Linked DNA regions of Xenopus tropicalis. The protein of the gene in region 3 binds, or shares a complex with, the protein of the main gene of each other region. Links are inferred from orthologs where the notes say so. Each region holds a gene or a part of one and is shown on either strand. Other genes may lie near its edges.

Region 1 (4,237 bases), about 1.5 Mb from region 3:
TTCAGTCTTGCTTCAACCTCCGCAGTTTAAAAACTGGCAGCCAAAACCTTGGGCACTCCTTCTAAAATGTAAAAAATCCTTTACTTACCATATACTAAGGTTGCAGCCAAGCATCCCATATGGTGTGATCAGGCAAAAACAGATTTATAGCAGAATACCCCACACATAGTATTAACAGACCAAACCCCTACATTTACTCCTTTTATGTAAACTCATACTCATAATACTTATGGCAGAATAAATATATCTCTCCACTAACCACATTTTGCATCAGACTGGGATTTTAAAAAGGAATAATATCTGTAACTGTACATTAAGGGCCTAGCTCTGAAAAAGACAAGGGATAGACCACTTGGGTATTAATGTAAATGGTGCACATGCAACATAAGTGACCAAAGAAGTAGGTACAGAAAGAGATACAGAAAGATACAGAAAGAGGGAGCTGAACTTGTTCAAGTTGGTAAAATGAGATAGCAAACACAAACTATAAAGGTGGCCATACACGCACCGATATTATCGTACGAAACCTCGTTTCGTACGATAATCGGTGCGTGTATGGCATGTCAGCGAGCCGACCGATATCGCAGGAAGCTGCTGAAATCGGTCGGCTCGCCGATCGGCCAAGTTAGAAAATTTTGATCGGGCGCCATAGAAGGCGCCTGACCAAAATTCTCCCTTCAGAGCTGAATCGGCAGAAGGAGGTAGAAATCCTATTGTTTCTACCTCCTTACCTGCCGATTCAGCCCTGAATGGTGTGTGGCGGATCTGACGATGTTTCGTGCGACCGACGGTCGTACGAAACATCGTGAGATCGCCACGTGTATGGCCAGCTTAAACTAAATTACTGACCGGAACGCAGGAAGCCTGTACTCCCACAAATAATCTTTAAATATCTTTAAATTAACTTTATTTGCTTATGTTTTAACCCAACCCCATGGTAATGTAGTTTCTTAAAAACAGCAGCAATAAAAGGTGCCACAATTGAAATGCTGCTAAGCAATACAGTTTCCCTTTCAGTCAACCACCACCACCAGTTATGCCACTAAAGCAAATCTCTCAAATGACGACGGTTATAAAGCAACAATTGGTTATAGCACTTGCAACTTAACCCCTCAGCTAGGAAAGTTCAATAGATCACAAATTCTAGGACTCCTATCTAAAGAAGACTGTAGGACTGGTTTAGCTTGTGTACAGCACTTATGTAAAAGACAAAACATTTCTTCTGTCACTAAATTCTGCCATTTAAAGCATTTCTTAAAAGATCTTGGTAAGTTAAAATAAACCTCTCTCATTTTGTATAACCTGGTTAACTATACCATAGCAGCCCTTTAAACAAGTACTAAAGCTAAAATATTATGCCATTATGTCTGGGGAAAGGCAGGCTATAAAGATCTGCATATGGCATTACCTTTACACTGAGCGAGTTACATCACAGCAAGTAGAAAGGTCTGGGAATTGAGTTTCAGAAAGCACAAAACCAACAACAAGTTGGTTACCTGGAGAACAGAAGAGAGATACATGGCCTACCTGTTCCTGTGCCTGTGGGGTCCCCTCCTTGGATCTGAAAGAATGAACATGGAGTGGTTCAGTTCACGTTCCCTGATGAATATTCCTTAACCAAAATGCACTAAATTTAGTCTGAACTGTTGCCGGTACTCACCACAAAGTTACGGATGGAGCGGTGAAAGATTGTACCATCGTAGTAATTCTTTTTACACAGCTTGACAAAATTCTCACATGTCTTGGGAGTCTAAAAAGGTAGAAACAACCCAACCAACAAAATACTTTAAAAAGAGGTAAACCAAGACAAAATTTAATAAGGCCTAATCCCCACCTATTATTTGTATGCTATATCTGCCAAATTGTAAATTCTGACAAATGCTTATGTATTTACAATAAATGTATTTTAAAAGTATTAAAAAATATATATTTTTGTCTTATTTACATATACATGGTGCACAGCAAAAACAACAAGTAGGCGAATCAAGTCCTAAGTGTGCAAGTTTGATTATTTATGCACTAAATACTCATGTTTACACTTCCTAATTCCTAAGGCCTCCTATTCATGAGTTTGTGCCTGCTGTGGGTACAACAGATCACTAGATAAGTGGTCCTTACTCAGATAAGATAAATTGGGTCAGCACTTCTTTAAATATTTAACACTTAATGCTTATCCCCCCCCACCGTAGCTCTCTCAGTGAGCTGCTCATAACACACCCAGATCTGCATTGCCACAGTAACAGGATGAAAAACTGCTAAGGTGTTGCTATGGCAGCTACAATGTCTGTTATGAGTCAACTGCAAAGAAGCTTTCTCATATATAATGTGATTTTCCATCCCTTCTTACTTTTACAGTCTGCTACTTGCCCCCCAGAGGTACAGTACGACATTATTAAATGACAAATTAAAATACAACTGCATACACAAACCGTTTCTCCATACAGAATGCTACATTAAGTAACCGAGGGAGGAATTAAAATACAAATCAGTTATGTAACCTAGTGTTCACCCTCATGGTATTTGCAGTTTAAAAATTACAATACAAGAGACACTTTTCTTTGTTACCCAGGTAGTAAAATGCACTGCTACACTGCAGGCACATTTAGTGTTTCAGGCTGGTATGATGGAGAGATTAATATACAACCCCCCCACCACACACACCTGAACTGTATTTGCCTGCTCCTCTGTCACAAAAACGGGGTAAGCAATTCTGCTATTATCTATTATTGGTTTCTACTGGGGCAGAATATACTTTGTATGGTGCAACTGTGAGTTTTACAAATGGATTAACTCTTTTACTGCCAAGCACGTATGGCATACGTGCTGGCAGTAAAAGGGCTTAAACGCCAACGACGTGTCTCATACGTCGTTGGCGTTTAAGCGCTGCCCTCTGCAGCGGCGGCATGTGCCACGGCGGCAATGTGCCAGGGGGGCTGTCATCAGGGTCCTGCGAGCCGATCGCTCGCAGGACCCTCCAGGAAGCAGCAGACGCGATCGCATCGCGTCTGCTGCTTCCTCTCTCTCCCCCAGCGCCGGCGCCACTGAAGGTGGAGGAGATCGGTCTTCAGGACAGGTAAGGAGTATTATTTTTTTTTTGCATTTATACACTTACACACACTTTTACATACATTTATACACACTTACATACATTTACACACACTTACAGCACACATTTTAGCATTTTTTTTTATTTTTATTTTTTTCATTTTTCACACTTTTATACACTTATTTACACTCATATACACACTTACACACTATCACACAACTTTAACACATGTACACACATGTATACACAAACACTTTGGTTTTTTTTGTTTTGCTTTTTTTTTTTTTTTTTTTTCATTTTACCACTTTGTTTTTATTTTCTTTTACCTAAAAACTGTTTATTTTGACAGCGTAACTATTGGATCAGATATTCTGGCCACTAATTACACTGTCATGTAACTTATTTTGTTGTTTCACTGATTTGCACAATTTTTGTGGTTTTATCACATTTTATCCCTATATAAGTGTTCCTGATCTGTTTTTAGCATAGCTTTGCCAGGTGTAACTTTGGTGTACAAAAATAACTTTACCTATTTTGAATTCATCAGAATGTGTACTTTCCAAAAATATATGGTTTTCTGGGGGTCACTGTATAGTTAGGGGGGGTTACTGCACATAATACACTGACAGGGGGCTCTGTGTGCAAAAGCTGAGCTGGCAGGCGAGAAATCCTTATGCGCTATTTTCATTTAGGGTTCAGTACATACCGCAGACTTTGGTATATCTATGCATATTGGGCATCAAACTGTTCAGTAGGCCTCTGGTGTTCCTATTTGGGGTGATTTGTCTTTATCTGATCTTTATCAAGAAATTGTGAGAGATAAATGCGGCAAATTGCAACATTTTTATGCGATTTTCGAAATGTCATATAAATCTGCAAACTTAGGAAAGCTTTACAGCTTGGTACTTTGTAGCAATAAGAAATATTTACCCATTATAGATTCGGGGGGATGTGTATTTTCCAAAAATATATGGCTTTCTGGGGTGAATGTACTTTTTTTGTAGCATTATCCCACATAAAGGATGTAAATGTGTTGATTTTGCAGGAGCTGAAATGATAGATCATATGGGGGTATGTTCCCATTCGGGCCCCTACATGCCACATACTTGGGTAAACCTATACATATTGGGCATCAAACTGTTCAGTGGACCCCTGGTGTTCAAATTCAGGGTGTTTTATCTTGGTACCTAA
Region 2 (4,895 bases), on a different chromosome or scaffold from region 3:
CTTCTTTCAGAAGAGCTACGAGTATCTACTTTGTCATAATTAGCACCCTGAAAAATTCAGAAAGAATATTACATTCGAAATACAAGCACAACAAACTAGTCCCTTATAAACAAGAGCTATGAACAGTCCCAATGCAGGAAGGCCAGAAATGATACATTGTACATTGTTGATACATTGTACTTAAACTTGTCATGAAATGTGGAAAACAATACAGGTATAGGATTCATAATTTAAAAACCCATTATCCGGATAGCATTGAATTAGGGGAATGGCCGGTTTTAATGAAATAATTTAAATTTTTAAAAATGATTCCCTTTTTCTCTGTAATAATAAAACAGTACTTTGTACTTGATTCCACCTAAGATATAATTACCCCTTATTGGAGGCAAAACAATCCTATTGCGTTTATTTAACATTTAAATGATTATTAGCATACAAAAAATAAGTAAACCTTTTTTTTCCCCCTCTCTCTCTAAATAAGACTCTATACAGCCCCAGTATAACATCCCTTTCTTTCTGCACTCAGTCCGATGCAGATTCTGTATCACAAGAAGCTCAACCTAAGATTAGGAAGTATCTGAGAGAGCTGAGGTTGAGCTGTTTGTGATACAGAGTCTGCAACAGACAAAGTCATTTTAGGGGCTTTTAAGATAAAAGGCTTACTTCCCCTTTAAGGGTATGGAGATCCAAATTACAGAAATATCCTTTATCAAGAAAACCCCAGATCCTGAGCATTCTGGATAAAAGGGTCCCATACCTGTACATCAGATGTTGTTCTGCTGCAACCACCAAATTCAAGGGGTATCTCTGTGCATATAACTTGTGTCTGCCCTTCTGTCTATTGCTCAGGGAGTAGAAGAGAATCCCTTCACATGCACAGCCAAGCCACTAGTCTGTCCCAAAGCCTGCCAACTAGTTATAAACTTCTACTCTTTTTGTGAGCTATAGATTGCTTCTTTCTATCTCGGGTCTTCATCTACAGAATCCCTACACTCTCCAATAGTGGCCCTGCTCTTCAATACCTGTATATTTTATATTACGTCAAGATTCTAAATACATATATCTGTTTGTGACCGATGTATTTGCCATTTTTATTCCAGAAAATGGCAGATAACCTGACCAGAGTTATCTCCAGCCAAAAAGTATCATTTTTTGCACTAAGAAAATGCAATAACAGGCAACATTGAAGCATAAATGTATCATTTTCATGGGTTTTATCATTAAAACGTTATTTGGAAAGGAAGCAAGAAGCAAGTTTTTTACCTCTTTCTGTTTTCTGACTCTTATAACAATTTGTCAGGTCTCCTTCAGTTCTGTAAATCAGGTGGCTTGCAACATTGTTTTGGGAGTCAGAGCCAGGAGTGAATAGGATGCACCAGCCAAACAGTTACTGATTTTAATAGCAAATACATTTACATAAAAACAGTAACATCACTGACACATTTTAATGAATGTATATTGGAACGTTGCTTAGTATTACATTTGAATACTGTGCTTGCCTGGTGCCTCTTGTAAAAGCTGCAGGCTGCTGTTGTATGACAAACTTCCCTGTGTAAACAAACTCATAATAAATAATCTCTAACACAAGGCCCAGCAGTTTTTGAAACCAGAATCTGCTGCTGCTGCTGGCAGGTGTAACTCAACAAAAGCTGGCAAGTCACATAGAACATCCTGCTCTGACTTAAAGGCCCTTAAATTAACTCCCAAGATGAAGTATACAATGAAAGTGATACACATTGTTGATTTTCTGTGGTTTCAGAGTCATTTAGCCTTTACTAGGGATGCCAGTATTTTGGGATTCGGCAGCCTACAGCAGTGTGAAGACTATAGTGACATCACTAAAATCTCTCTCCCCTTCCTGTAGGTGCCAGCGGCAGCCTTCCTATTCTCTGAGCATGTGTGTAACTTGATCCTGTCTCCTGTTCTGAGCTACACATGCCCACCAGCCAATCAGAAGTGGATCTGCCGGGGGGGGGGAGGGAATGAAACACATGTGCAGTATGATGCAAGGAGGGAAAGGAAGGGGAAATAGGGATGGCTGCCTGTTCTAGAAAATATGAGTAAGTGTAACCAAGTAAATATTTGATTAGGTGAGCCAAAAGTGTGGCGTTTTTACTAAACAATAGGACTACTGGGCAGTATGCTTTTTAAATTTTGACTTGCATTCTCCTTTAATGTCAATCAGAGGCATAATGTATGGTGTGTCAGGAGGCACTGCCTGCATCAGGACCCGCTCTGCAAGCGCTAGATTTATGCAGAGAGAAGAAACCCTGGGGAGTAAGTGCTCTGTAAAGGGACTTACTTGGGTAATAAATAAAATGTTTCCCCGTTTATGCATGGGTAGTTTGGTTCCCTCCCACACTCCAAGAACATACAGCAGGTTAACGGGGTCTCGATAAAATTATTAGGCATGAATTGATAGGGACCTTAGATTGTAAGCTTCTCTGGGGCAGTGACTAATGTGAATACTGCATTATATGTCAAGCGCAGAGGAATGCCTGTGCTATATAAGTAAATAATACATTAATGGCATGGGGCACTGTGGGCAGAAAAAAAACATGGAGCTTTGACCCCCCCCCCCTCTGTCTTTTTTTTTATACAATTTTTCCACCTTTATTAACTGTAGAGACGTCAACCAGTTCCCTGTCATAAGGAAGATAATGATCCTCTGGGAATTTAGTTCCGGCATAGTTTGGACTAAATATCCCGAACTCAAATGTTATGACCCTCAAGGCATTGGGCTGAGTGCCCCACATAAGTTGCTGAACTATAGCTCCCTTGATCCTCAGCGTTAGAGGTTACTGCAAGTTGTAATTTTCCATTCGCTATAGGATCTCAAGCTGAAAGTCCAGGATAAAGCCACTCTGTAACCATAAGGTAAATGTAAGCAGAAAACTTACTTTGACTTGGGCCACGCTACTCTTCATGATACCAAGCTGCCCCCTCCAAAGCTTCTCGGGGAGATCGGAAAATGTAAAGACTTAGAATAAACAACCGCTTGTTGGTCACCGCCACCCAAATCAAATTACATAAAGAACAATCCCGCTTATTGGATTAAACGCACAGTGTTCTATTTACAATACCGCTCACACTGCACGACATAATACACTTCCGGTTTCCCAGCATTCTCTATTCTAGCCAGCGCACAGTGATATGTACGGGAGCCGAGACAGGACAAACGGGACTAAGAGTCGCAAGGAGAAGCTAAAATAGCAGCGTTGGCTGTAATAAGCGGTGTAGCTATATTGCAGTCCTTTACATTTAATCATTTACACAAATAGGCCCTTCTTCCTAGGTACCAGTGTATTTAAAATTAAAGGGACTTTAAACCGCTAAATATTTTTTGTTTAATAAGAGAAAGCTCTTTCCAATACCCATTGTTAAAAAATAAGTGGTAACTGCAGTATTTTCATGTCCATTCTTTGTTGAGTTTCTATTTTACTTGGTGCAGGAAATTCCCTGGGGTGAGGGCCCTGCTAAATAGTAGTCTGATTACTGACGGCAGCCTGTCACCAAGGAACGGACACTTTCCACATCATACACACTTTTTTTTTAGGGCTTCTGTAACATGATGTGAAACACACACGGGTACATTTATCAAAGTACGATTGCTTCCGAATAGTTTTTGTACTGCGCGTATTTTTTGCGACTTTTTCGTACTTTGCAACAATTTGTGCCACAAAATCGTATTTGTCGTAACGAGTACGAAAGTTTCGGATTCATTCAAGCTTCGGTATCATGACTTTCCTTGGGCCAGGTTGGAGCTGCAGAGTGCCATTAAGCCCTATGGGAGACTTTCCTTGGGCCGGGTTGGAGCTGCAGAGTGCCATTGAGCCCTATGGGAGACTTTCCTTGGGCCGGGTTGGAGCTGCAGAGTGCCATTGAGCCCTATGGGAGACTTTCCTTGGGCCGGGTTGGAGCTGCAGAGTGCCATTGAGCCCTATGGGAGACTTTCCTTGGGCCAGGTTGGAGCTGCAGAGTGCCATTGAGCCCTATGGGAGACTTTCCTTGGGCCAGGTTGGAGCTGCAGAGTGCCATTGAGCCCTATGGGAGGCTTTCCTTAGGCCAGGTTGGAGCTGCAGAGTGCCATTGAGCCCTATGGGAGGCTTTCCTTGGGCCAGGTTGGAGCTGCAGAGTGCCATTGAGTCCTATGAGAGGCTTCCAAAATCATGCACAGAAGGATCAAAGCCATTTACAATCATTCGGATATGAAAATTTAGTCACTTTCGGATCGCCGATACAATATTATCGTGACTAATACGATTTTTTCGTAAGCATTTTCGTGACATTTCCGATCATGAGAAATTATTGTATCTAATCTGAATTATACCCATTTCGAGATTTGAACTCATGCTTTGATGAATCAGCCCCATAGGGGCACATTTATCGAAGCACGATGACCACGATTGCAAAAAAATTTGTATTGTTGTAAAGTTTAGAACTTTTTGTAATGACCACGAAAATATCGGTACAATTACGCGACTTATTCGGGTTTTGCATAAATTTTTATGCAAAAGTCATATTTTTCGCAATGATTACAAACATTTCGGAATTCATTCAAGCTTGGGTATCGTGACTTTCTTTTGGCCAAGTTGGAGCTGCAGAGTGCCATTGAGTCCTATGGAAGTTTTCCGAATCATGCACTGAAGTTTCAAAGTCAGAAAGGTTTACGCGCCATTTACGATCGTTTGGATACGAAAATTGAATAACTTTTGGTTCGCAACCACAATATTTTCGTACGAACACAATACAAATTTTCACACAATTTACACCCATCAGAAATTTTTCCAATCATACTTATAACAATCAAAAATTTGTATATATACAGGACCAGCCTTAGGCCAATTGGGCCTAATAGGGCCCCGCACCGGGGGGAATAGGAAAAGCTGTCCCGT
Region 3 (5,004 bases):
GTTCTACCTTCTTTTGATCATCATCATTAAACAAGTTCAAAACTTATACAGTGTGGTGATTGAAGGGCGAGTAAACTGCCTGTTGATTCACTTCTCACAGTGATGGGAGCAGGACAGTGTGACTTTTTGGTATAGAGTAAATATATTCTCTCATATTTCTCTATGCCTTTTGTTTTTCCCTTCCTATTCTCCTTGGACAAACAATTCCTTCCAATAACAAAATAAACTAATTTAACAATTAGTAACTTAAACCAAGGGAACGGAGGGCTTTTAATGATGATCATGGAATTTTACAGACATCACCCTGTTAACCCTGCCCCTACACAAATAAAACTTACCTTGGGCCTTGAGAATAGCTGCTTTTCCTCTGCCGGCACCAGAACCCTGGTTTTTATTCTTCATACTCTTTAACATGGGAGCATTTTTCAACATGTCTGGGAGGATGAGAAAACGAATTTTGCTGCCTCTGATGTAGACCTGTTCTAGTTGTGCCACTCTGCCATCCCTGTACGTTACAGTGATGTTTGACATCTGAAAGTCAAAGTACAATTTAAGCATCCATGGAGGGAAGAAAAAAGGACACAGGCTTAACATACAGCACTATGTGAGGAATTCTATTACAATGTTTTATATTTATAAAGCTTTAACGGGATCGTGTTTGACTTCACACTCATGTCTCCCCCTTGTTTAGCTCAAAGAATAGCCAAAACCATGTTCTTTTCCTGGGAGACAGCACCAAGAACATTCATACACAGTAGAAGAATGTTTAGAAGACCAGTCTTTGCAGTTTTAAATTTCCTTTAATGTATATCCAAGTTGCGTAGAATTAAATTTTTTCATTACAAAAACAGTTTTTGGCTGGAGGACCCTTTTAATTAAAATAGCCAAAAACAACCTATTTATTGTACAAGGTAATATACAGCTGCGTTAAAATGCTTTAGAAACACTGCTATAGTCTATACCAGTAATGCCCAACCAGTGGCTCCCAGTGGACTTTAAGCAGGTGCTTATTTTTTGTAATTTCTGGTAAGGAGGCAAGTTTCTGTTGCATAAAAACCAGCTGTATTGCCAGCACAATCCTGTAGGCTTCCAGTCCCCATAAGGGCTACCAAATAGCCAATAACAGCCCTTATTTGGCAACCCAAAAGAATTTTTTATGCTTCATTTGCTCCCAAACTCTTTTTACATTTAAATGTGGCTCACAGGTACAAAAGGTTGGGAAACCCTGGTCTATAGAAATAAAGCTGCATGGGGGCAGCTATTCAAACAAAGAGGGCTGAATGGCACAGGTGACAAAAAGATAAGCTCTGTAAAATACAATACAGCTTATGTAACCAGCACCTTTAGGGCTCTGGCACACGGGGGAGATTAGTCGCCCGCGATTAACTCCCTGTTCGCGGGCGACTAATCTCCCCGAGTTGCCTACCCCTGCCATCCCACCGGCGAACATGTAAGTCGCCGGCGGGATGGCAGACGTGGCGGCGCGATTTCGCGCAAATCGCCGAAAAAGACTCGCAAGTCTTTTTCGGTGATTTCCGGAAATCGCCCCGCCGCGTCTGCCATCCCGCCGGCGACTTACATGTTCGCCGGTGGGATGGCAGGGGTAGGCAACTCGGGGAGATTAGTCGCCCGCGAACAGGGAGTTAATCGCGGGCGACTAATCTCCCCCGTGTGCCAGAGCCCTTACTCAGTTTATCCCAGCTTGGATGGCTGCCCCCACTGATACACAGCAGCTTATTTATATGAACTATAGTAGTATCAGTGGGGGCAGCCATCCAAGCTGCTGTGTGTTACTGAAGCAAACACCAGTTCTACCAGTGCAGGGTAACACTACATCGTATTTTGATTACTTTGAAACACTTACATAGTTTAAAAGAATAGGAACACCAAAATATGTTACCGTTTGGCTTCTGTGGGTAGATAAAGGAGACTTTTCTCCATGTTAAAAGAGAAGTTTATACATGAACAACAGAAGAGTGCTTAGTAAAAAGAGCAAAAGGAAATTGTCACCCTAAATATTTTTTAAATTACACAACAGGAATGCAATACGGGTGTAGCCACACCCCACTAACTAGGCTCCTGTAACTAACAGTTTAAAAGTGCATAGCAACAACAGCATTTACATATTTTACTTCTGCTCCTTATCACTGAGCTTTACTGTGAATATACTGACATCTAGAGACACAGCTAGGAAATTGAAATAGATTAGGATTAAAGGAGACATTGTATAAAAATTAAGAATGTACCAGTAAATTATACTCCTCTAGATATAGAAGGACTGTGGTTTAAAAAAAATTGTTTTTTGGACTGTTTTATTGAGAAATTCCACCAAAACCCTAATAGTCCCGCCCATCTGTTCCACTTCCTGCTGGCTGGATAGGAACCAATCAGCAGCTAGGATGACCTGATAGGGAACTGAAGCCTGTCTCTGCTTGTGTGAGTGCTGGGCTGTGATTGCCTTCCCCCCTCCTACTGTGCTTCTGGCAGGGACCGTTAGGACACGCCCACCCTTCATTTTAAACAGGGACAGAGAACTGATAGGATCTACAGGGAGCTCCAATAAAGAGGCCATATTTACAGATGAGTATTTTTTAGCCCAAATGAAACCCGCAGCATATATTGTTCATAATTGTCTACAAAATTAGGTTTTTTTTTCCCCTATTTTTCCATGTCTCCTTTAAGCTATTTACGCTTCTGACCACAATATAACTGCTTCTTTTGCAATGGATAGGGTAACCGAGGCACTATATAGGGAATAAATAGGTGCCTTTTGGAAAATACTTTGCCCCTAACAATTCACACACACATTTTTAGTTTAACACAGCCTTTACAATTGTTGGTCCATAAGGTCTATCACTAGAGTTTATACTGCAATCACCAACGTACTTACAAACATGGCATAAGGTAAATATTTATAAGTTTAGGTGCACTTGCTATAGATATAATACGAATGACTTGCTTATTTTACTTACTTGGCAGTTCATGTTATCCTCTGCTTCAATCAATTTCCCCCTGTATACCTCTCCGGTGTTAGTTTCACATGTCACAATGTGGCCTTCTGCCTCATGAAGGACTTTAATTGGTACACCGATAGACATATTGAGAGCTAATGGAGATTAACCTGCAATTGGAGAAATAAAAATTAGCAAAAAAACGTGGAGAACATACAAAGCGCAACGCAGGTTACTGCATACAATGCAGCCATGTGCAAACTATAAGGTATATTCAAATAAAAATCCTTATTACATAATGTTTATCCAGCCTAAAGCTTTAATCACTTACAGTCTATAAATTCAGCCATACATATGCACACAAACATGCCCAGCCCTTCAGAAACACATGCACGTTAGGACATCGCAGCAGCACAACCCGCAGAAGCAGAGGAGTAACCCTCAATGAATGAGTTCCCTGGGATACTGGCACTGAGGCCTACACAAACGTTTCAGTGCCCCCGGCCTAAGGCAGGAATATTTATAGAAACGGATAACGGACTGGTAACACAGTGAGATGCGTTGGGCCCGGCACCCTGTATATAACCTCACCATAAGGCAATATTTAGAGGGAAGCCCTGCTCACACTCATACAAAGCTGCCAACCGCACAGACCTAAGGGAAAGCGAACAAGCGCCGAGTAACCGAGACGCACACCCCGCCCAGATATCCGCACGCTGCAACCCCCGGGCCTCTCTGACAATCCTGCAAAGCGCAGACTTTTTACCGAACTTTTGTTTGCTTTGGGTAATACTTACTAGCGTGGCTCTGTTCTGCGTTCTAATGGCGTCCCGCCTGCCCCACAATGCACAGCGAAAGGAAACAGGCTGTCGTATCTCTCTGCCCCCTTTTCCCGGCGACTGCACAAGCAAACAACTTCCGGTGGGAAACAGATATGAGTGACTTAGTTCCGCTCATCAACCCATTTATCTATTCACACCATTTAAGAGCGGCTAGTTGCACTGCAACTTTTCATATTATATATTATGAATTATTATTAAATATCTTGAGCTGAAACCTCCAATTAGACTCAGACGTGCAATCTGTGGATTGTGATAAATGCCAGAAGGGCTGCTGTAAGATGTCACAGACACTATTTATTGGGGTGATAGGGGGCTATTTGGGTATCCGCGTATAATTAAATGCCAAGGCCCCATTTCCAGTCCGCACCTGATCAGACTGTTTCTTTTAGTCTGCGCTTTTAATAGGTGCTGATTCTGACTTTATTAACTGAATTGGCAGACCGCTGGCATATGTATGGGCCCAGAATGATCAGGCTTATTTTGTTTATATATCTGCTGAATGCATTGTTTCTGAACTGCCAGAAAGCACATGCAACATTAAGTAAAATGGACAAAATGGCATCTGTGCACAAAAATGTACCCCTGCTCACTGCTGTAAAATGTAGATTCACCCCCCATTCTACCATGAATGTATGTATGTGCACATACAGGACTGGAATTAACCTGTCACTGCAGCCTGAAACTGCTGTTTGTGCCATTAGCCTAAAATTGCAGGCTGCGCTAGTAAAACCATCACATAATCTTGAGGTAAGGGTAATGGCATACACGGTTTAGTTGCCCATTGGCTTTCCCACAAAAGGACAACAACATTACCCATAGCAGCTATATATAGATAGTGCCATAGGCCACAGTGGAAACACATTGAAGAAAAACAAGATGGCTTATTCTGGTATTGGCACAATAATCCGCATTAGTCCTGTTCTTCTAGCAGCCAGAAATTGGGCATCTGGGTGAGAAGGTCACCAGCGGATCTATAACCAATATGGCCACCTAGTTGTGGCTGACATCAGGCAGATCTGTGAGGGCCAAATGATCATTGTAATAGGCGCCTGTGTAGGCCATCAGGAGAGGACCATATCAAATATCTGATGTAGTCCTCCTCCAGATGAGATTTTTAAACCTGCCCAACATCTGCCTGATATTTCACCAGATTGCTATTGGATAGGCTGTAGGACAAGACCCATAAGGTGGCCATGCATGGTAAGATCGCT
Region 4 (4,738 bases), on a different chromosome or scaffold from region 3:
TCCAAGCAAACAGAGAGAACCTATAAACTCCCAAATGGTTAACTTTTGTAGTAAATCACTGCCAAACCCTTTAAGGGGTGGTTCACCTTTAAGTTAAAGGAACAGTAACACTAAAAAATAAAAATGTTTTAAAATAATTAAAATATAATGTACTGTTGCCCTGCACTGGTAAAAGTTGTGTGTTTGCTTCAGAAAGACTACTGTAGTTAATAGAAATAGCTGTTGTGTAGCCATGGGGGCAGCCATTTAAATTGAAAAAAGGAGAAAAGGCACAGGTTACATAAGAAGATACCAGATAAACTGTGTAGAATACAATGGGAATCTGCTACTTATCTGTTATCTGCTTAGTAACCTGTGCCTTTTCTCCTTTTTTCAATTTAAATGGCTGCCCCCATGGCTACACAGCAGGGTATTTATATAAACTGTAGTAGTGTTTATGAAGAAAACACACAACTTTTACCAGTGCAGAGCAATAGTACATAATATATTAATTATTTTTATACACTTTCATTTTTTGGTGTTACTGTTCCTTTAACTTTTAGTGTGTTATAGAATTGCCTATTCCTATTCATTATTTCTTATAGTTTTGAATCATTTTTTTATTTTCTTCTAACTCTTTCCAGCTTTCAAATAGGGGTCACTGACCCCAGCAGCCAAAAAACTATTGCTTGGTGAGCATACAGTTTTATTGTTATTGTTACTTTTTATAACTTGTTTTTCTATTCAGGTCCTCTCCTATTTATTTACCACCCTTTCATTCAAATTGCTACCTGGTCGCTAAGGTAATCTGGACTCTAGCTCTAAGATAGCTGATGAACAAAAAGTGAAAGAACTAAAAAAAATACTACAAATAAAAAATTAAGACCAATTGCAAATTGTCTCAGAATATTACACTCTACATCAGGGATCCCCAACCTTTCATACCTGTGAGCCACATTCAAGTGGAAAAAGTGTTTGGGAGCAACACAAGCATGAAAAAGGTTCCTGGAGGTGCCAATGAGAGCTATCATTGGCTATTTGATAGCCCCCATGTGGACTGGCAGCCTACAGAAGGTTCTGTTTGGCATTATACTTGTTTTTTATGGCTGCAAAACATGCCTCCTTTACCAGAAATTCAAAAATGAGCACCTGGTTTGAGGCCACTGGGAGCAACATCCAAGGGGTTGGAGAGCAACATGTTGCTCGCAAGCTACTGTTTGGGGAACACTGCTCTATATCATACTAAAAGTTAATTCAAAGGTGAAGAACACCTTTAAATCTGCTACGCAGTAAAGCTATCCATTCAGTTATTTTACACAATAGGACACTAAAAAGTGTACACATTTTCTGGTCGGTCTTCCAAATGCTTTTGCAATTCAGATTTGTTTTCAGTTTCAAAGTTATTAAGCATGTTATAAGCGTCTATTATAATTATTATGTAACAATTGCGCCACCTACTGGTATATCCCTCCAATTGCACAATCTGAGAAAACATGGTCAAAATGAAACATGGAACTGTTCTTATTGCGCTCTTTAGCGACTGAATTCCCAGCACAGAGCGTTGCCTTACATACTGGAACAATATTGGAATAAGATTTGCCTTGTCCTATAACCACTCTAGGAACTAGATGCGCCCTCTTTGTTAACTAATCCACCCCGCCTTTTCTCTGTCAGATTACGCCGCTGCCCCTCTGCGTAGCAAACTGGAGGGAACTTGTTTCGTGTCGATCACGTGGGCACGTTTCTACAGGCTTAACCAAATCAAGCAGGAACTAGCCGCTAAAGTGGCCCGGAAGCGGAAGTGGCCCTTCAAAGGAAGCGTTCTACACGCCGGGAAAACGTGAGAAGGGAAAGGAAAGACAAAAAGAAAGATGTGAGTAACTGGTGGAATATCTTCAGCCCAGCTTTAAATACTTAAAAATAAGGAAAAAAACTAGCCTTTTGTATCTACTTAAGTTTAGCTGATTGACGCTTAGAACGAATGCCTCTATGTAGCAGAGCATGCGATTGTACTAGCCGGAACTTGCCTGCACTTAGAAAATGCTGTGTAGTTCTGTGATTTAATTACTGTGGCAGAGATGGCAGTGCCAAAAAGCTTCCCTTGCAGGCTACCAGCACCAGGTCGTGTGTATAAACAGCTCCCCGGGTTTTCTCATTATGCAATTGCATGTGACACTTGCTCACTATATACAGGCATGTTAATAACATGGCTACCTGCAGCAAGTTCTCCATCATCCGGGTGTGGGTGGCACATCGCTATGAGCATTTTTTTGGACAAAATGGTACTGTTTCCCCCAACCTAAGTGCGGGTTCTATTAGCCCAATTCAAATCCGATATGTGTCTTTTAATACTAAGCAACTATTCAGTATACACGATTTAAACATTTTCAATGGTTCTAAATGTTTTCAATCAATTTCTAATCAATTCCATATCTTTCCTGGTTGGACCCACATGACAAGTTTCTACAAAGGAAATATTCTGCAGCTTTATGTGCTTGCACGATTATAGAGATCTGTGTGGTCAACTTAAACACTAATTTGTGTTTAAAAAATGCATATGACTGAAAAATATGCCTTTTAACACATTCAGCCCAGACTTTTTTGTTAGTTTATTAAGGCTTAATTGCTCTAGCAATAAGGGGTGGGACTTCACACATGCTCAGTAATGTTTTTGACTATGGGGCACTCCTTTAAAAACATGGAGGCAGCAAGTAGATAGCGATGGGTAAAAACAGCTTTAAACATGATTATTTGGGGAAAATTAAACCTAGTAATTAAAATCGTACCAAAATGGACAGTTAATAGGGTAACCCATTTTTAATAAAATTGTATTCTCCATTAAACAAAAAATCACCAGTAGACGTTTTGTTGTCAGAAAAATAGTGTTATATCTGATTTAGTACAGTGGTGTGAAAAACTATTTGCCCCCTTCCTGATTTCTTATTCTTTTGCATGTTTGTCACACTTAAATGTTTCTGCTCATCAAAACCGTTAACTATTAGTCAAAGATAACATAATTGAACACAAAATGCAGTTTTTAAATGAAGGTTTACGTTATTAAGGGAGAAAAAAAAACTCCAAATCTACATGGCCCTGTGTGAAAAAGTGATTGCCCCCCTTGTTAAAAAATAACTTAACTATGGTTTATCACACCTGAGTTCAATTTCTGTAGTCACCCCCAGGCCTGATTACTGCCACACCTGTTTCAATCAAGAAATCACTTAAATAGGAGCTACCTGACACAGAGAAGTAGACCAAAAGCACCTCAAAAGCTAGACATCGTGCCAAGATCCAAAGAAATTCAGGAACAAATGAGAACAAAAGTAATTGAGATCTATCAGTCTGGTAAAGGTTATAAAGCCATTTCTAAAGCTTTGGGACTCCAGCGAACCACAAATGGCAAAAACATGGAACAGTGGTGAACCTTCCCAGGAGTGGCCGGCCGACCAAAATTACCCCAAGAGCGCAGAGACAACTCATCCGAGAGGCCACAAAAGACTCCAGGACAACATCTAAAGAACTGCAGGCCTCACTTGCCTCAATTAAGGTCAGTGTTCACGACTCCACCATAAGAAAGACACTGGGCAAAAACGGCCTGCAGGCAGATTTCCAAGGCGCAAACCACTTTTAAGCAAAAAGAACATTAAAGCTCGTCTCAATTTTGCTAAAAAACATCTCAATGATTGCCAAGACTTTTGGGAAAATACCTTGTGGACCGACGAGACAAAAGTTGAACTTTTTGGAAGGTGCATGTCCCGTTACATCTGGCGTAAAAGTAACACAGCATTTCAGAAAAAGAACATCATACCAACCGTAAAATATGGTGGTGGTAGTGTGATGGTCTGGGGTTGTTTTGCTGCTTCAGGACCTGGAAGGCTTGCTGTGATAGATGGAACCATGAATTCTACTGTCTACCAAAAAATCCTGAAGGAGAATGTCCGGTCATCTGTTCGTCAACTCAAACTGAAGCGATCTTGGGTGCTGCAGCAGGACAATGACCCAAAACACACCAGCAAATCCACCTCTGAATGGCTGAAGAAAAACAAAATGAAGACTTTGGAGTGGCCTAGTCAAAGTCCTGACCTGAATCCTATTGAGATGTTGTGGCATGACCTTAAAAAGGCGGTTCATGCTAGAAAACCCTCAAATAAAGCTGAATTACAACAATTCTGCAAAGATGAGTGGGCCAAAATTCCTCCAGAGCGCTGTAAAAGACTCGTTGCAAGTTATCGCAAACGCTCAATTGCAGTTATTGCTGCTAAGGGTGGCCCAACCAGTTATTAGGTTCAGGGGGCAATTACTTTTTCACACAGGGCCATGTAGGTTTGGATTTTTTTTCTCCCTAAATAATAAAAACCCTCATTTAAAAACTGCATTTTGTGTTTACTTGTGTTATCTTTGACTAATAGTTAAATGTGTTTGATGATCAGAAACATTTTGTGTGACAAACATGCAAAAGAATAAGAAATCAGGAAGGGGGCAAATAGTTTTTCACACCACTGTATATATTCCCAATTCTTGCATAGACCAGTATGTTAATGAAATCTAAACTGTGGTGGGGCTAATAGTGACATGAATGGTTTATAATCTCTCTAAAGAGCTGCAGAATGTATCAGCGCGTTATAATAATCTGTATGTATACACCCTTTTATTGCACAGTGCCAATAAATATGTTGACACTTTATAGATCCATGTTAATAACATATTGCCAAATAATTCCCTGCACTTATACACAAAACTAAGAGTTGGACAGCGCATA
Region 5 (4,237 bases), on a different chromosome or scaffold from region 3:
ACCGTAAGAGCAAGTGAAACGTGTCAGCGACTCACAGCACAAGTTGGTTGCCTTCATTTTAGGGAAAGTGTTGGCACAATCTGTTTTAGCCAAAATTTGAACATAATATTTAACATTTACTATTACAGTTGCAGGTTCTGCTGACATAATATTTGAGAGCACCGACTGCATCCAGGGAATGAAGAGTGACCTAATTCCTCTCCAGGTTTGAGACAAAATGAAGGAATTGTGATTTCCTGGTTAATGTGGAACTGTGATTCCACCTTGGTTAGGAAGGGGGGGAGACAGTGTGCAGAACTGCTTTGTCAAGATGGAAAATGAGAAAGAGGGATTCACAGGATAGAGAATAGAGTTCTGACACCTGGTGCGCAGATGATATGGCCACAAAAAAAACAGTCGTCCATGTGAGACTAACCAGGGAAACTGAAGCTAAGGGCTCAAATAAGAGTTCTTGTAGTGCCCTCAGCAAAGTTAAGATCCCAAGGAGGTCAGGGACTTCTGAAGGTAGGCCCCAAGTGGGGTGCTCCCTGGCGAAAGCATTCACATCCAGCAGCAACAGCAGTTGTTTTTTGTAATAGCACCAAAAGGGGCAATATCTGGGCATTGAGAGAATTCAGGCCCGAGGTCAGGCCCAATTGAAGGGAATTTGAAATCATTGGTGTGGACAAATCATGGAATGAATGTGTTGTTAACACCAAGGATAATGCTCTATGGAAATCTGAGCTGCGTCTAGTGCTGCCTCACAAATGTAAGAACTGGCCTTCTTGATTTGAGGGGCGAAGCGGGCCAGTTCCTGCACCCGATGTGATTATCCCAGAGCCAGAGGGAATAGGGGCTAGGGGTATGTCCACCCTCAGGTAGACAGGAGGCGGCAGTCTCAGCAGAAGCAGCAGTGCCTGGTACAAAAGCTGCAGGAACATCTGTGGCCTGGCATGATGCACAATGAGAGTCTGTCTACTTAATGGAGTCCATGCCCCCGGGAAATAAGTTGTCACTATTATTCGCTGGTATGCACAGAGGGAACTAAGGACAGTGATCTCCAAGATGGGGTCCCAAAGGAAGATTAGGAGCGTCGAGCAGGGAAGGGACAGTACCTCCCCGCAAGTGTGGGCAGCCAATAGTACCCCTGAGTGCACAGTTGGTGCCCACTATGGAGGAAAAGTGAAACTGTCGTGTATCCAAAGTGTGGTAAACTCGAATAACCACCCGTTACAGCCAGGAATAGAGGCCTATAGAACTGCGTAATATGCAACCCAGGGGTACTGCCTGAGTAATAGTTGCTAGTGCTGGGGGCACCCCCAGTTAGTACTATGAAGATTAGGTGCAGAGTACGGCTAGATGGCCTGCTCTTCAGGAGTGAGAAATGATCCTGGTGCTGGAAATATCCCACAGAGGGGGAAGCCTGAGAATGCAGCCCGGTTCCGAGAAGGCTGGTAGGGACAACCCCTAGTGTTCCTATGTCCACAAGGAGATGAGACAGATTCTAACGGAGATAGCATTCCTGTAGCTTTCTGGATAATGATTTTCCAGAAAGGGATCCCATACCCTCTAAACATTTAAGTTCTTAGAACTCTTCATTCAGAGTCTTCACTTCTAGTTCAGTACATTGCAGCCAATATTTCCACCTTGCGAGGCTCATTACCTGCCAACCAGACAGATGAATAGGTTCAGCGCAGACACCCGTTCATCTTCCTTATGTTCCTAGGATAAAGAACATTCACAGTTATTCATATTATCGGCTGAAAGGAGCAGCTGTCCCATCACACATACAAATCACTGCCTGGCAAATCATAGAAAGCTTTCTGGAAATTCCCACATTGCTCCATACACTAAATCACATACTGTAATCAACCTTCTGGCCTGAAAAGGTTTAAATTGGTTGTTTCTGAACAGGTGAATCCCAGCTGCCTGTTTTCCCAAGTGAACCCCACACACCAGTTGCCAGTTCAGGATATGTGAATGAATCCTGAAAAGTGCAGCCAAAACCTAAATTTTGGGGACTGGTAATACCAATAAAGAAGGTTTAAAGGGGCTGTGCACCTTTTAAATTACCTTTAAGTATGATGTAGACATTGATCTAAGACAGATTGCAACTGGTCCTCATTTATTTTTTTGTGGGTTATTTTTTAAGTTACTCTGCTTTCTGTTCAGCGGCTCTCCAGCTTGGAATTTCAGCAGCTATCTAGTTGCAAGGGTCTTATTTGCCATAGCAACCAGGCAGTGGATTAAACAGATTGGAATGTGCCAATGAGAATCGGAAGTTGAGTAATACAAAGTAAAAATAACAGTAAAATTGTAGCAACACAGAGCTTTTTTGGTTGGGGTCAGTGAGCCTCATTTGAAAGCTGGAAAGAGGCAGAAAAAGACAAGTAATTCAAAACATATATAAAAAAAAATATAATGAAGAACTACTGCAAAGTTGCTAGGAATAGTACATTCTATAACATACTAAAACCTAAGTAAGAAGTTATCCATCCCATTAATAGTCAATGTGTCATTATGATTTGGGGAAAAAACAGAAATTAGTCAAAATGATTAATGAAGTTAGTAAACCTCCGAGGAATACTAAAGTAACAATCAGAATCATTTAATGTTCAGCTTTTTAACAGCTTCTATAGATTTGGCTATGTACACATTGTAATATGGTTCAGTAAACAAAATAGAGCATTTTAAATGGGTCTACTGGGATAGGTAGTGCTGCATAAATCTTCTGGTCTCTTTCTCTAACAGCCGGAGGGCCACATCGCTTAGTATTCTGACGTAGTCACAGTGCAGTGGGGCGCATGGGCTACTCAACAGTGCAGCCTGTTTGCTGGTCATTGATCTGACGGGCTGAAATCGCGTTAGCCAATCAGATCAGGGAAATGCTAATGAAGGGGCATAAACAATAAAGTTTGGGTCCTAAAATTTCTCCACTCTTTTTTCTAACAAGATTCCAACAAACAGGAGCTTTCATATCCAGGGGCTTGGGGTCCCCTGGTTTAGGCTGAGAGAAGACAATATGAAGCACTAACGTTCCAGGTAGATATATTGAAAAATGATCCAATTTTTAAGTAGACCACATTTATACATATTGTTTAAATGGCAAAAAAAAAAAAAAAAAGGTTCTTACCACCCCAGCTCTGACTTGTGAGCATCTCCGTGCCAACTGCCTAATAAGAGAGTGAGCTTCAGGCAGCAATGGTTTCTCCAGGCAGGCCAGTAGTGCGTAAAGCCAACGACCCTAGAAGACATCCGCAGTATATCTGCATTACTACTTGGGCAGAAAAAGTTGTGTGCAACAAATATTGTGCTGTAGAGTAGAGCTTGCACAGTAAGTATACAGTGAGGAATGGTTCAATGAAAGATGAAGACTATAATTACAACTGTTTTTTTGCCATGTATTGCACTGCACTGAGATTCAAAACAGGCCCTGGCATTTCAAGTACACAGAAAGGCCCAAACACCCCCCACAGGCCCACTAAATAGTGACTATGGCCTCTTACTGCTGCCCTTCTGGTATTTGCCACAGATTAGCAGTCTGGGCCTGCACCCAGTATAGTCACAAGTATGTGACTATGTGCTGATCAGTACTCAGTAGGCACATAGAAGTTAAACAAAATTGTTTAGGTCTGCAACTGTTGGAATATTCTTTTTGATTCAGGGATCTACCAATAATAAGCTACGGTTCTAGATTGTAAGCTCTTTTGGGCAGGGCCCTCTTCACCTCTTGTATTGGTTATGGATTGCTTTATATGTTACTCTGTATGTACAATGTATGAAACCCACTTATTGTACAGCGCTGCGGAATATGTTGGCGCTTTATAAATAAATGTTAATAATAATAATAATAATAATATAAAGACAACACATTGTAAATTAAGATATATATCTATATATATGTTTTACCAGCTCTGGAGTAAAGTTCCTTTCTTCAAACCAGTTCACTAAGTATTCTAGCACACTTGTTACGGTCGCCTTAAAGACAAAATAATTACAGAATAAAAAACACAGATGAATAGATTCTATACAGTTATGTCAACATAAACAGAGTAAAACATAGCAGGACTGAACTTGTACCTGTAATTGTTTTGGCCAAAAGTAAATGGTTGGCAAGACCGATGTCCATTTATTGCCTAATCCTGACTGGCACAGGTCATCGTTTCCTTACAGGAGGACATTTGTTTATCTTACTGCCTGGGGCCCCCAAGAGGTCTAATCAGTGGGTTCAAACAACTTCATCGTATTTGGCCCCATC
Region 6 (3,273 bases), on a different chromosome or scaffold from region 3:
CTTTAAAGAAATAATTTTTTGCCTAATAAAAGAAAACATAATTCTAAACAAAGCACACAAAATGGTATTAAGGGGTACTAACCCAGGATCAAAGTTATATAATATATAATATTGTTATACAATTAGTATAATAAAAGACAGTATTTATTTGTCAGCGTGACAACACTAAGAATATTAAAATCATTTAAAACCCAAAAGCAGCACCCATTCGCAGGAAGGGGTCCCACCCTGAGACCATTCCGTCTGCAATCATACAAATCGCCATACTATTCAAAATAGAGCAATGCAGAGGCACTCATCCTCTGTGATTGTTGGATAGACATATTATAAAGACTGTTATAGCAATGTTAAAAAGTAAGCAGGGCCATCCTTGTGTTCACAATAAAGATAACTTTATTGTAAAGAGTGTGATAAATAAATTCTATAGTAGGAATGTCCTGTTTCCATAGGGTTCAAATAAACATCTTGCTGTGCCAATATTAATAGTGTGCAGTGTGTTACAGTTGTACCGCTCTCCTCTGATTGGAGTAAAGGAGTTCTCCAACAATGTTACTTCCAATGAGCTTGTTATAAAGTTGGCAATTATGTGCCCATGATAATACTTATGCATTACTGTCTATTCAGCTTATGATATCTTCAGCAATTCACTCCATCAGTTTGCAGGCAGAGCAACTTTTTTCTTTGGAACACATTGATCATCCACTGTGTACAGCACCTAGCAGAGTGGGGGCCCCCTATAATACCAATGGAATAGTGGCTGCTAATACTGTGTTTTAAATGATTTTAATGTTCTTAGTGTTGGCATGGTGACAAAGATTGCCTTTTATTATACTAATTATATAACTATTGTGGGTTTGATCCTGGATTAGTACCCCTTTCTACCAATTTTTTGTGCTCTCTCAATATGAAAAATGGGCAGGGTCGGAATGGGGGGTGAAGGGCCCACCGGGGCCAGCGCCCACAGCCTCGCTCCCCCACCCGACGTCCTTCCCTGAGCGGGTAAATTTAACGTGTCTGGGCAGGGGGAGCTCCGCAAGGGTCGGGTCTGGGCCCAGTCCGACCCTGAAAATGGGACACCTTGGATCAATGTATATCTAATAATCTAGTACAGATTGTAAAGGGTTTAGAGGTTACAACTGTGTTAATGATAATTCTAAACTGTCCAATATGAATTTATTAAATAATGTAGTGCTTTAAAAGTTACTTGTAAATGTAACTGCGATTTACAGTAGCATGTGTGTAACTCTTGGTTGTTGCCTTTGCAACATTGTTTAAAAAGTAAGTCTCCTCCAGCAAGGTTGGGCTGTCAGTCTGCTGATTTGTTACATTGTTTCTAAAGTAAGAGCCTCCGGGGCAGAGAACAGAAAAGGAAAGGCACACTGCTTTTAATTGCAATAATATATACAAACAACTTAAAAAAAAAAAAAAAAAAAACACACAATACATGTATATTACAAAGCTGCTTAGAATTTCATTGTTTCATTTATAAGGCAAAACATATTTTGGGTTTGCTTAAATTTTGGGGGAATAAAGATGAAAAGCTTAACTTTCTGATGTTTAGCCTGTCTAACAAGTCATGGAAATGAGCTTTGTGTGTTGACCGTACACATTTATGATCCCTCCATAAAGCTCAAGAGGAAAAGAACTGATCACTGTCCCTCAGTGGTAAACTGCATATTAATCAGAGGACCGGTTATGAGTGGGAATTAGTTGAAGGGCAACAGAGTTTTGTACAGTCAGCCTCTGGCTCTGTTTTGTATTCTGGTACAACCAAATATTTATTACTCTAGAACAGACTGTGTGCAGTGTAGTGACTGGTTTCTTTTCTTTGCAGGGGTTGGAGATTGTTAATCCTCAGGCGGCAGAAAAGAAAGTGGCTGAAGCAAACCAGAAGTACTTTTCTAGCATGGCGGAATTCCTTAAAGTGAAAAGTGAGAAGTCTGGCACCATGACACAGTGAGACACTACAGGGCTAATTTACTAACACAGGTGCTAAACTGTGCCAGTGCAGTTACCCATAGCAAGCAATTAGAATTTAGCTGTTTCTAACTTACAGCAGACAGTTCAGAACAAATTCTTACATGGGTGCGATGAATGCACTGAGGCAATTTAGCACCCACATTAGTAAAACCAGCCCCTCAATGTCTGTCCAGTCCTTTACTGGGCAGACTAGTATCATCTGATGAATGAACTGGTGAACACTGATCTGAAGCCATTTGTATGTACCTGGTCTGGATTGAATATAAATATACTGGCTCCTGAGCTGTCAGCAGTCAAAGGGATAACTTGGAAGGACGGGCTGATAACCAGAGATTTTCCATTGGACAATTCAGAAAGTTTTGTTTTTAAATACTTTTTTTTTTTTTTTTTTTTTTACTATTATTGTACATGGAAAGGCTGATACTTGCCAACTATTTTTTTTTTTTTGTTTTTTACAGGTGGGATTTGCCTTGTATATAATACATATTTGTTTTTATTTAGATACAATACAAGGCTGTAAATTGAGTTTTATTGTTGCACGTTAAATTCAGTTATATTAAAGGGGATGTCAACATTTAAATTAACTTTTAGTATGATGTAGACAGTGATAGTCTGAGAATTTGCAATTTATCTTCAAGTTTTTTGTGTTTGCTTAAGCAGCTCTCCAAGTATTTGGTTCAGAATCCTTAGGGCTCTGGTACACGGGGAGATTAGTCGCCCGCGGCAAAACTCCCTGCTCGCGGGCGACTAATCTCCCCGAGTTGCCTTCCCTCTGCCATCCCACCGGCGAACATGTAAGTCGCCGGCGGGATGGCAGACGCGGCGGCGCGATTTCGCGCAAATCGCCGAAAAAGACTCGCGAGGCTTTTTCGGCGATTTCCCGAAATCGCCCCGCCGCGTCTGCCATCCCGCCGGCGACTTACATGTTCGCCGGTGGGATGGCAGAGGGAAGGCAACTCGGGGAGATTAGTCGCCCGCGAGCAGGGAGTTTTGCCGCGGGCGACTAATCTCCCCGTGTACCAGAGCCCTTAATCCCCACATGCAATTTGGAAGGGTGTTGGTACTCTGTGCTACTGCTGAGCTGCACTGAGTACTGACATTTGTAGAAAATGAATATAATCAACTGCTCAAACCAGCCAAACACAATCTGACAAATATGTCAATTCATTAAGGGTGAAGACACACTGAGCTACTTAGTAGCAGCTACTAAACACCAGAAAATACCCTGCCATAGACAGTACTACAATTCTGCTAAAACACACCAGTTATCAGTAAATGATCAGCATTGTCAGT
Region 7 (4,237 bases), on a different chromosome or scaffold from region 3:
TAAAGGACAAGGCAAGGAAGCGCTGCAGGTACCCCGGCCTGGTGCTCTTCTCTCCGAGCAGGGGCACCAGCCCAGGGTAAAAGGTAGGCGATTAAAGTCACTTGGGGGTGCCTAACATTTTGGCCTTTCCTTCTCCTTTAAGCTGTTATACACTGTTATAAGTTTTTTTCCCAGAAAGTACTTTTCCTTAAAAATTTGATTTTTCTACTATTAAATAGAAATACTGTCAGTGTCAATGCAAAGTCAAAACTTAATGTTGACCTTTCGTTAAAGTGATACTGACCCATTCCCAGAATTAACAGGAGCTTGTCACTATAAATAGTGGCGGAAATTAGCTTAATAATGTACTAATTGAAATGCTGCCCTTTTCTTTCCCAGGTGAAATGTTGGGATCTGGGTTCCCTGTCCTGCTGCTGGTCCCTAACTTCCCTCGGTGGCTTTGTATACAGCCTAGCTTTCTCCCCGGTAGCAGCTGGCAGCCTGGCTGTTGGGGTGGGGGACAGCATGATCCGTGTATGGAATACAATGTCGGTTGTCAATGCATATGATGTGAAGACCCTGTGGCAGGGCATCAGATCCAAGGTCACTGCGGTAAGCAGCCTTTGCGTAATGTAAGCTACCAGTATATGCAGCCATACAATCAGTGTCAACAAATGCAGAGTGGGATTTCCTATTGCACCTCTCACTAGTTTTGCCACATGTATCACAGCCCAAATGACAGCACTAGATGGTCAGATTGCCCCTAATGTTATCTACGCATGCAGGAGTTTAAGGCAATGGAAATATAACTATGGAAATTCAGAAATTTGAAACTATTTCAAATTTGGACATTTAGAGGCATATTTATTAAAATGTGATTTTACAGCTGAATATATAAAAACTCACCCAGGTTTTCTTCATTCCTATAGAATTTTTAAAAGCGTATTTATCAAATGGTGAGTTCTAATTTTCACCCATTGATAAATACACATCTAAAAATCCCATAGAAATGAATAAAATGCGGATGAGTTTTAATGTATTAAGCTCTAAACTTACATTTTGATAAAGAGGGCAGGTGATATTAAGGTCTTTATAAATGGTTACAATTTCTGCTGTTCTGCCTCTCAGGCTACATAATGTAAGGAATTTATGTTCAGTAGGAGGGTTTTAGTTTAAAGTTAATTTTATTGTCCATTTGCACTGATTAAACTGATAATGAGAACAGCAGGCAGAAACTCTGAGTCTGCAATGGGATATTTTGGCTTAGAAAATAGGTTGATATTCTGCATTGATAGTTTTCCTTCTTGCCTAATGCAGCTGTCATGGCATCCGACCAAAGAGGGCAGTCTTGCTTTTGGCACCGAGGATGGGAAAGTTGGCATCTTTGAGGTCTACATCAGCAAGTAAGGACTGAGCTGTGATAATGTGTACAGCCAACACTGTTATTTGTGTCATATAGAAATAATAGCAATATTGTAGCCACTATAAGCTACCAAATCAGCCCCTCCAGAGTGAGTTGGCATCTTATTGGCCCATTTATGTAGCTTGCCCAACAGCCTGCTTGACTGACATGGCTGAAAAGTGAATAGGCAGGTTGAGTTTTTACCACATTGGCAAACCCTCTCCTGATAGCCCAACTTGGCTGCAAATGCAGGTTAACCACTTTTAGATTAGTGTGATATGTGGCATTTTTTCCCAGAACACAGGCCTGCAATGCAGCCTGAGGAATCCAGTTTGTGATGGTGTGTGCAGCTCTGTGTGAGCTAGCAATCTAACTAGTTTATAATTTAGCCTAGTTTTTACTAGCCTATCAAAGCTAGTTTGAGCATACCGCTATGTCCAATTCAGTCATTACTGGGATCAGTTATTATGCAAATCCCAACATCTGTCCAAATCTGGATATTTTTGGCTGCCCCCAATCATTAGGACAATTGGCAGTACTCAGGATTTGCTTTGAAACTACACAATAGTATGAAATTAGAAAGATATATGGATTGTTAAGGGGCATCTATATAGGACAGGAACTGTTTGTTGATTTCTTGTCATAAGAAACATTTTGGGCATTTTTTTTTTTTTTAACAGACCCCCTCAGATTTCTGCTACATACCACAAAAAGACTGTTTATTCCTTATCATGGGGACCTCTGCTGCCTCCATTCTCATTTGGTGAGCTCTCTTTCCCCCCTCCATCCCTCTAGTTTGTCTTTGGACTTGGTGTCAGCAGTATCCAGGTTTAACTTGCCTTTTGCTTTTGATATACTGTAATGTATTTACTCGTCTGTGGCCATCTTTTGGGCAGCTATATTAAATATGATATATTATATTAGGCTCTCCCCAGTACTTTAACTAAAGATTAAAATAAATTTTACCCATATATTTTCTGAACATAGACATCAAATATAAAGGTAAACTATGGAAGATGTCTTTGTTTTCCTTACTTGGAATACAGCCATTATTATTATTTTTTACAGGAGCAGAAGGGGACCGTCCTACTTATACACTGTACAGCTGTGGGGGGGAAGGGGTTATTTACCAGCACAATCCTTGGAAACTGACAGATGAAGCCAGTAATATTAACAAGCTGATCCGGGACACCAATGACATCAAAGTGAGTGCAAAGAGTGTATTAAAGGAATTACAGTCAGCTCTGTCTCCTTTGCCTTTCATGTACCAAGCAGGGCAGATTATATGATATGACCAAATGAGCCATAGGGTTTTTGCAGAATAGAGTGCTGAGTAGTTATATGGTTTCTCTTGCCTAATTTGTGCCTTATTTGTAATCAGTTTATTCTTGGGGTTTAGTGGATTTTTTTCTTTTGCAGCACAAGTTACCAGCACACACAGAGTTAAGCTGGAGACCTGATGGACAGTATTTAGCTATTGGCAATGAAGATGGGTGAGACCCTTAATATTTTTTTCCCCACTATGCTTCTTTTAGAGGAAGTGGCACACATAAATGGAATGTGCCATTTTGAAAATGTAACATTAAAGAGCAGCACACCGAACTTAATAGGAAACACAGACAGTTCTTACTTGAAAATGTATGTGTGGTTATAACATCACAGTGTAACAAACTGCCTTTCACTGCAACCCATGAAGTCATAGGGAGTTTTAAGAAAATGCAGTTCATGTTCAAAAGTACATGTTGGTCTCAGCTCTCTCTCTAACTCTATCCAAGGCAGCCCCAGCAACTTATGGTCATAGCTTTTACCCTGCATTTGCACTCTGGTTGCCTCCATTGATTGGATCCACCTCACTTTAATTTTATTTCCTGTTTTGTGTAAATATTTTATGTCTTAAATTAATATATGCCTAATAAGTATATGTGTTTATAATATAATGATACATTCATTTAAAACCTAATCCTATTTCTGTTAAACTACTATGAACCATCAGAGGCTCTGATTGGCCGTTTGAGTGCTTCTGTATGATTGGTTGTTTTAGCTTTAAATATTGTGAGATATCTTATGCCTCTTAAGGCATAAAAATGCAGAGGGCCTGTATTTTGGGGCAAATCTAATTTGCCAGCCTGCTGAAGTACTGCTCTGCCACATATTCTTTTGCTGTGATATAATTTAACCCTCTAACATCTAAACAGAACCATTGAGGTCTTCCACACTCAGCGTCTGCAGCTTATCTGTACCATTCAGCAGCATCACAAGCTAGTGAATGCTGTGCGCTGGCATCATGGCCATAGCCAAGACCCTGACTTGAACTTTCTGCTGGCATCTGGATCTAACAATGCTACTGTCTACGTGCACAACCTGAAAGGGCCCCTGGGTAAGTATTTGTTACAATAATATTCCTCTGGTTGAACAGTGCAGTCAATTCAAGGTGGCCTAGTCTAAAATGTTATTGGAGCTTGTGTTGGTGATGGTGGCATTTTAGTGCCAATAAATTATCCACAATAGTGCAAGCTAGAACCCTATATTTATACTGCAGAAAGCTTTACTATACCTGAATAAATAGCCCTAGAAGCTCCCTCAGTTTGTTTAAGATAGCAGCTGCCCTTTTAGCTTGGTCTCAGTAGCTTCTGTGTGCAGCTCTAGGGGCTGGTGGCTCAGATCCTACATTCAGATGGGAGGGGGGGTGCATTCTTATGGGAGGGGGGAGCAGGAGAGAGGAGAGAGCTTTGCAGACTCTAGCCCCTGGAATGAAGGTTTTTCTGAGAGAGAAGTCTGATACTGTAGTACAGGGGTGCCCAGACTTTGTCACCCTGTGATCTACTCTTGCCACTTGGCCTCCGCCTGGAGATCTCC

The links.
Region 1: snrpd3 (region 3) and ppil2 share a complex: the UniProt entries of both Homo sapiens proteins name them as parts of the minor spliceosome. The link is inferred for Xenopus tropicalis from reciprocal best matches to the Homo sapiens genes SNRPD3 and PPIL2.
Region 2: snrpd3 (region 3) and cwc22 share a complex: the UniProt entries of both Homo sapiens proteins name them as parts of the minor spliceosome. The link is inferred for Xenopus tropicalis from reciprocal best matches to the Homo sapiens genes SNRPD3 and CWC22.
Region 4: snrpd3 (region 3) and snrpd2 share a complex: the UniProt entries of both Homo sapiens proteins name them as parts of the SMN-Sm complex. The link is inferred for Xenopus tropicalis from reciprocal best matches to the Homo sapiens genes SNRPD3 and SNRPD2.
Region 5: snrpd3 (region 3) and gemin2 share a complex: the UniProt entries of both Homo sapiens proteins name them as parts of the SMN-Sm complex. The link is inferred for Xenopus tropicalis from reciprocal best matches to the Homo sapiens genes SNRPD3 and GEMIN2.
Region 6: snrpd3 (region 3) and prpf31 share a complex: the UniProt entries of both Homo sapiens proteins name them as parts of the U4/U6-U5 tri-snRNP complex. The link is inferred for Xenopus tropicalis from reciprocal best matches to the Homo sapiens genes SNRPD3 and PRPF31.
Region 7: snrpd3 (region 3) and gemin5 share a complex: the UniProt entries of both Homo sapiens proteins name them as parts of the SMN-Sm complex. The link is inferred for Xenopus tropicalis from reciprocal best matches to the Homo sapiens genes SNRPD3 and GEMIN5.

What each region holds. Positions count from the first base shown.
Region 1 is NC_030677.2:154,127,809-154,132,045, forward strand, and holds part of ppil2 (peptidyl-prolyl cis-trans isomerase-like 2), read right to left. Parts: intron 1,751-4,237; coding exon 1,661-1,750; intron 1,562-1,660; coding exon 1,528-1,561; intron 1-1,527. UniProt on the Homo sapiens protein: Has a ubiquitin-protein ligase activity acting as an E3 ubiquitin protein ligase or as an ubiquitin-ubiquitin ligase promoting elongation of ubiquitin chains on substrates.
Region 2 is NC_030685.2:63,083,477-63,088,371, reverse strand, and holds the start of cwc22 (pre-mRNA-splicing factor CWC22 homolog), read right to left. Parts: upstream 3,149-4,895; 5' UTR 2,928-3,148; coding exon 2,901-2,927; intron 48-2,900; coding exon 1-47. UniProt on the Homo sapiens protein: Required for pre-mRNA splicing as component of the spliceosome. As a component of the minor spliceosome, involved in the splicing of U12-type introns in pre-mRNAs. Promotes exon-junction complex (EJC) assembly.
Region 3 is NC_030677.2:152,604,771-152,609,774, reverse strand, and holds the start of snrpd3 (small nuclear ribonucleoprotein Sm D3), read right to left. Parts: upstream 3,122-5,004; 5' UTR 3,099-3,121; coding exon 2,973-3,098; intron 532-2,972; coding exon 339-531; intron 1-338. UniProt on the Homo sapiens protein: Plays a role in pre-mRNA splicing as a core component of the spliceosomal U1, U2, U4 and U5 small nuclear ribonucleoproteins (snRNPs), the building blocks of the spliceosome.
Region 4 is NC_030684.2:70,386,049-70,390,786, reverse strand, and holds the start of snrpd2 (small nuclear ribonucleoprotein Sm D2), read left to right. Parts: upstream 1-1,779; 5' UTR 1,780-1,850; coding exon 1,851-1,852; intron 1,853-4,738. UniProt on the Homo sapiens protein: Plays a role in pre-mRNA splicing as a core component of the spliceosomal U1, U2, U4 and U5 small nuclear ribonucleoproteins (snRNPs), the building blocks of the spliceosome.
Region 5 is NC_030684.2:114,047,357-114,051,593, forward strand, and holds part of gemin2 (gem-associated protein 2), read right to left. Parts: intron 3,958-4,237; coding exon 3,889-3,957; intron 3,224-3,888; coding exon 3,113-3,223; intron 1,702-3,112; coding exon 1,643-1,701; intron 1-1,642. UniProt on the Homo sapiens protein: The SMN complex catalyzes the assembly of small nuclear ribonucleoproteins (snRNPs), the building blocks of the spliceosome, and thereby plays an important role in the splicing of cellular pre-mRNAs.
Region 6 is NC_030683.2:104,946,116-104,949,388, reverse strand, and holds the end of prpf31 (U4/U6 small nuclear ribonucleoprotein Prp31), read left to right. Parts: intron 1-1,834; coding exon 1,835-1,960; 3' UTR 1,961-2,350; downstream 2,351-3,273. UniProt on the Homo sapiens protein: Involved in pre-mRNA splicing as component of the spliceosome. Required for the assembly of the U4/U5/U6 tri-snRNP complex, one of the building blocks of the spliceosome.
Region 7 is NC_030679.2:17,540,638-17,544,874, reverse strand, and holds part of gemin5 (gem-associated protein 5), read left to right. Parts: intron 1-378; coding exon 379-591; intron 592-1,296; coding exon 1,297-1,382; intron 1,383-2,061; coding exon 2,062-2,144; intron 2,145-2,449; coding exon 2,450-2,586; intron 2,587-2,800; coding exon 2,801-2,874; intron 2,875-3,576; coding exon 3,577-3,758; intron 3,759-4,237. UniProt on the Homo sapiens protein: The SMN complex catalyzes the assembly of small nuclear ribonucleoproteins (snRNPs), the building blocks of the spliceosome, and thereby plays an important role in the splicing of cellular pre-mRNAs.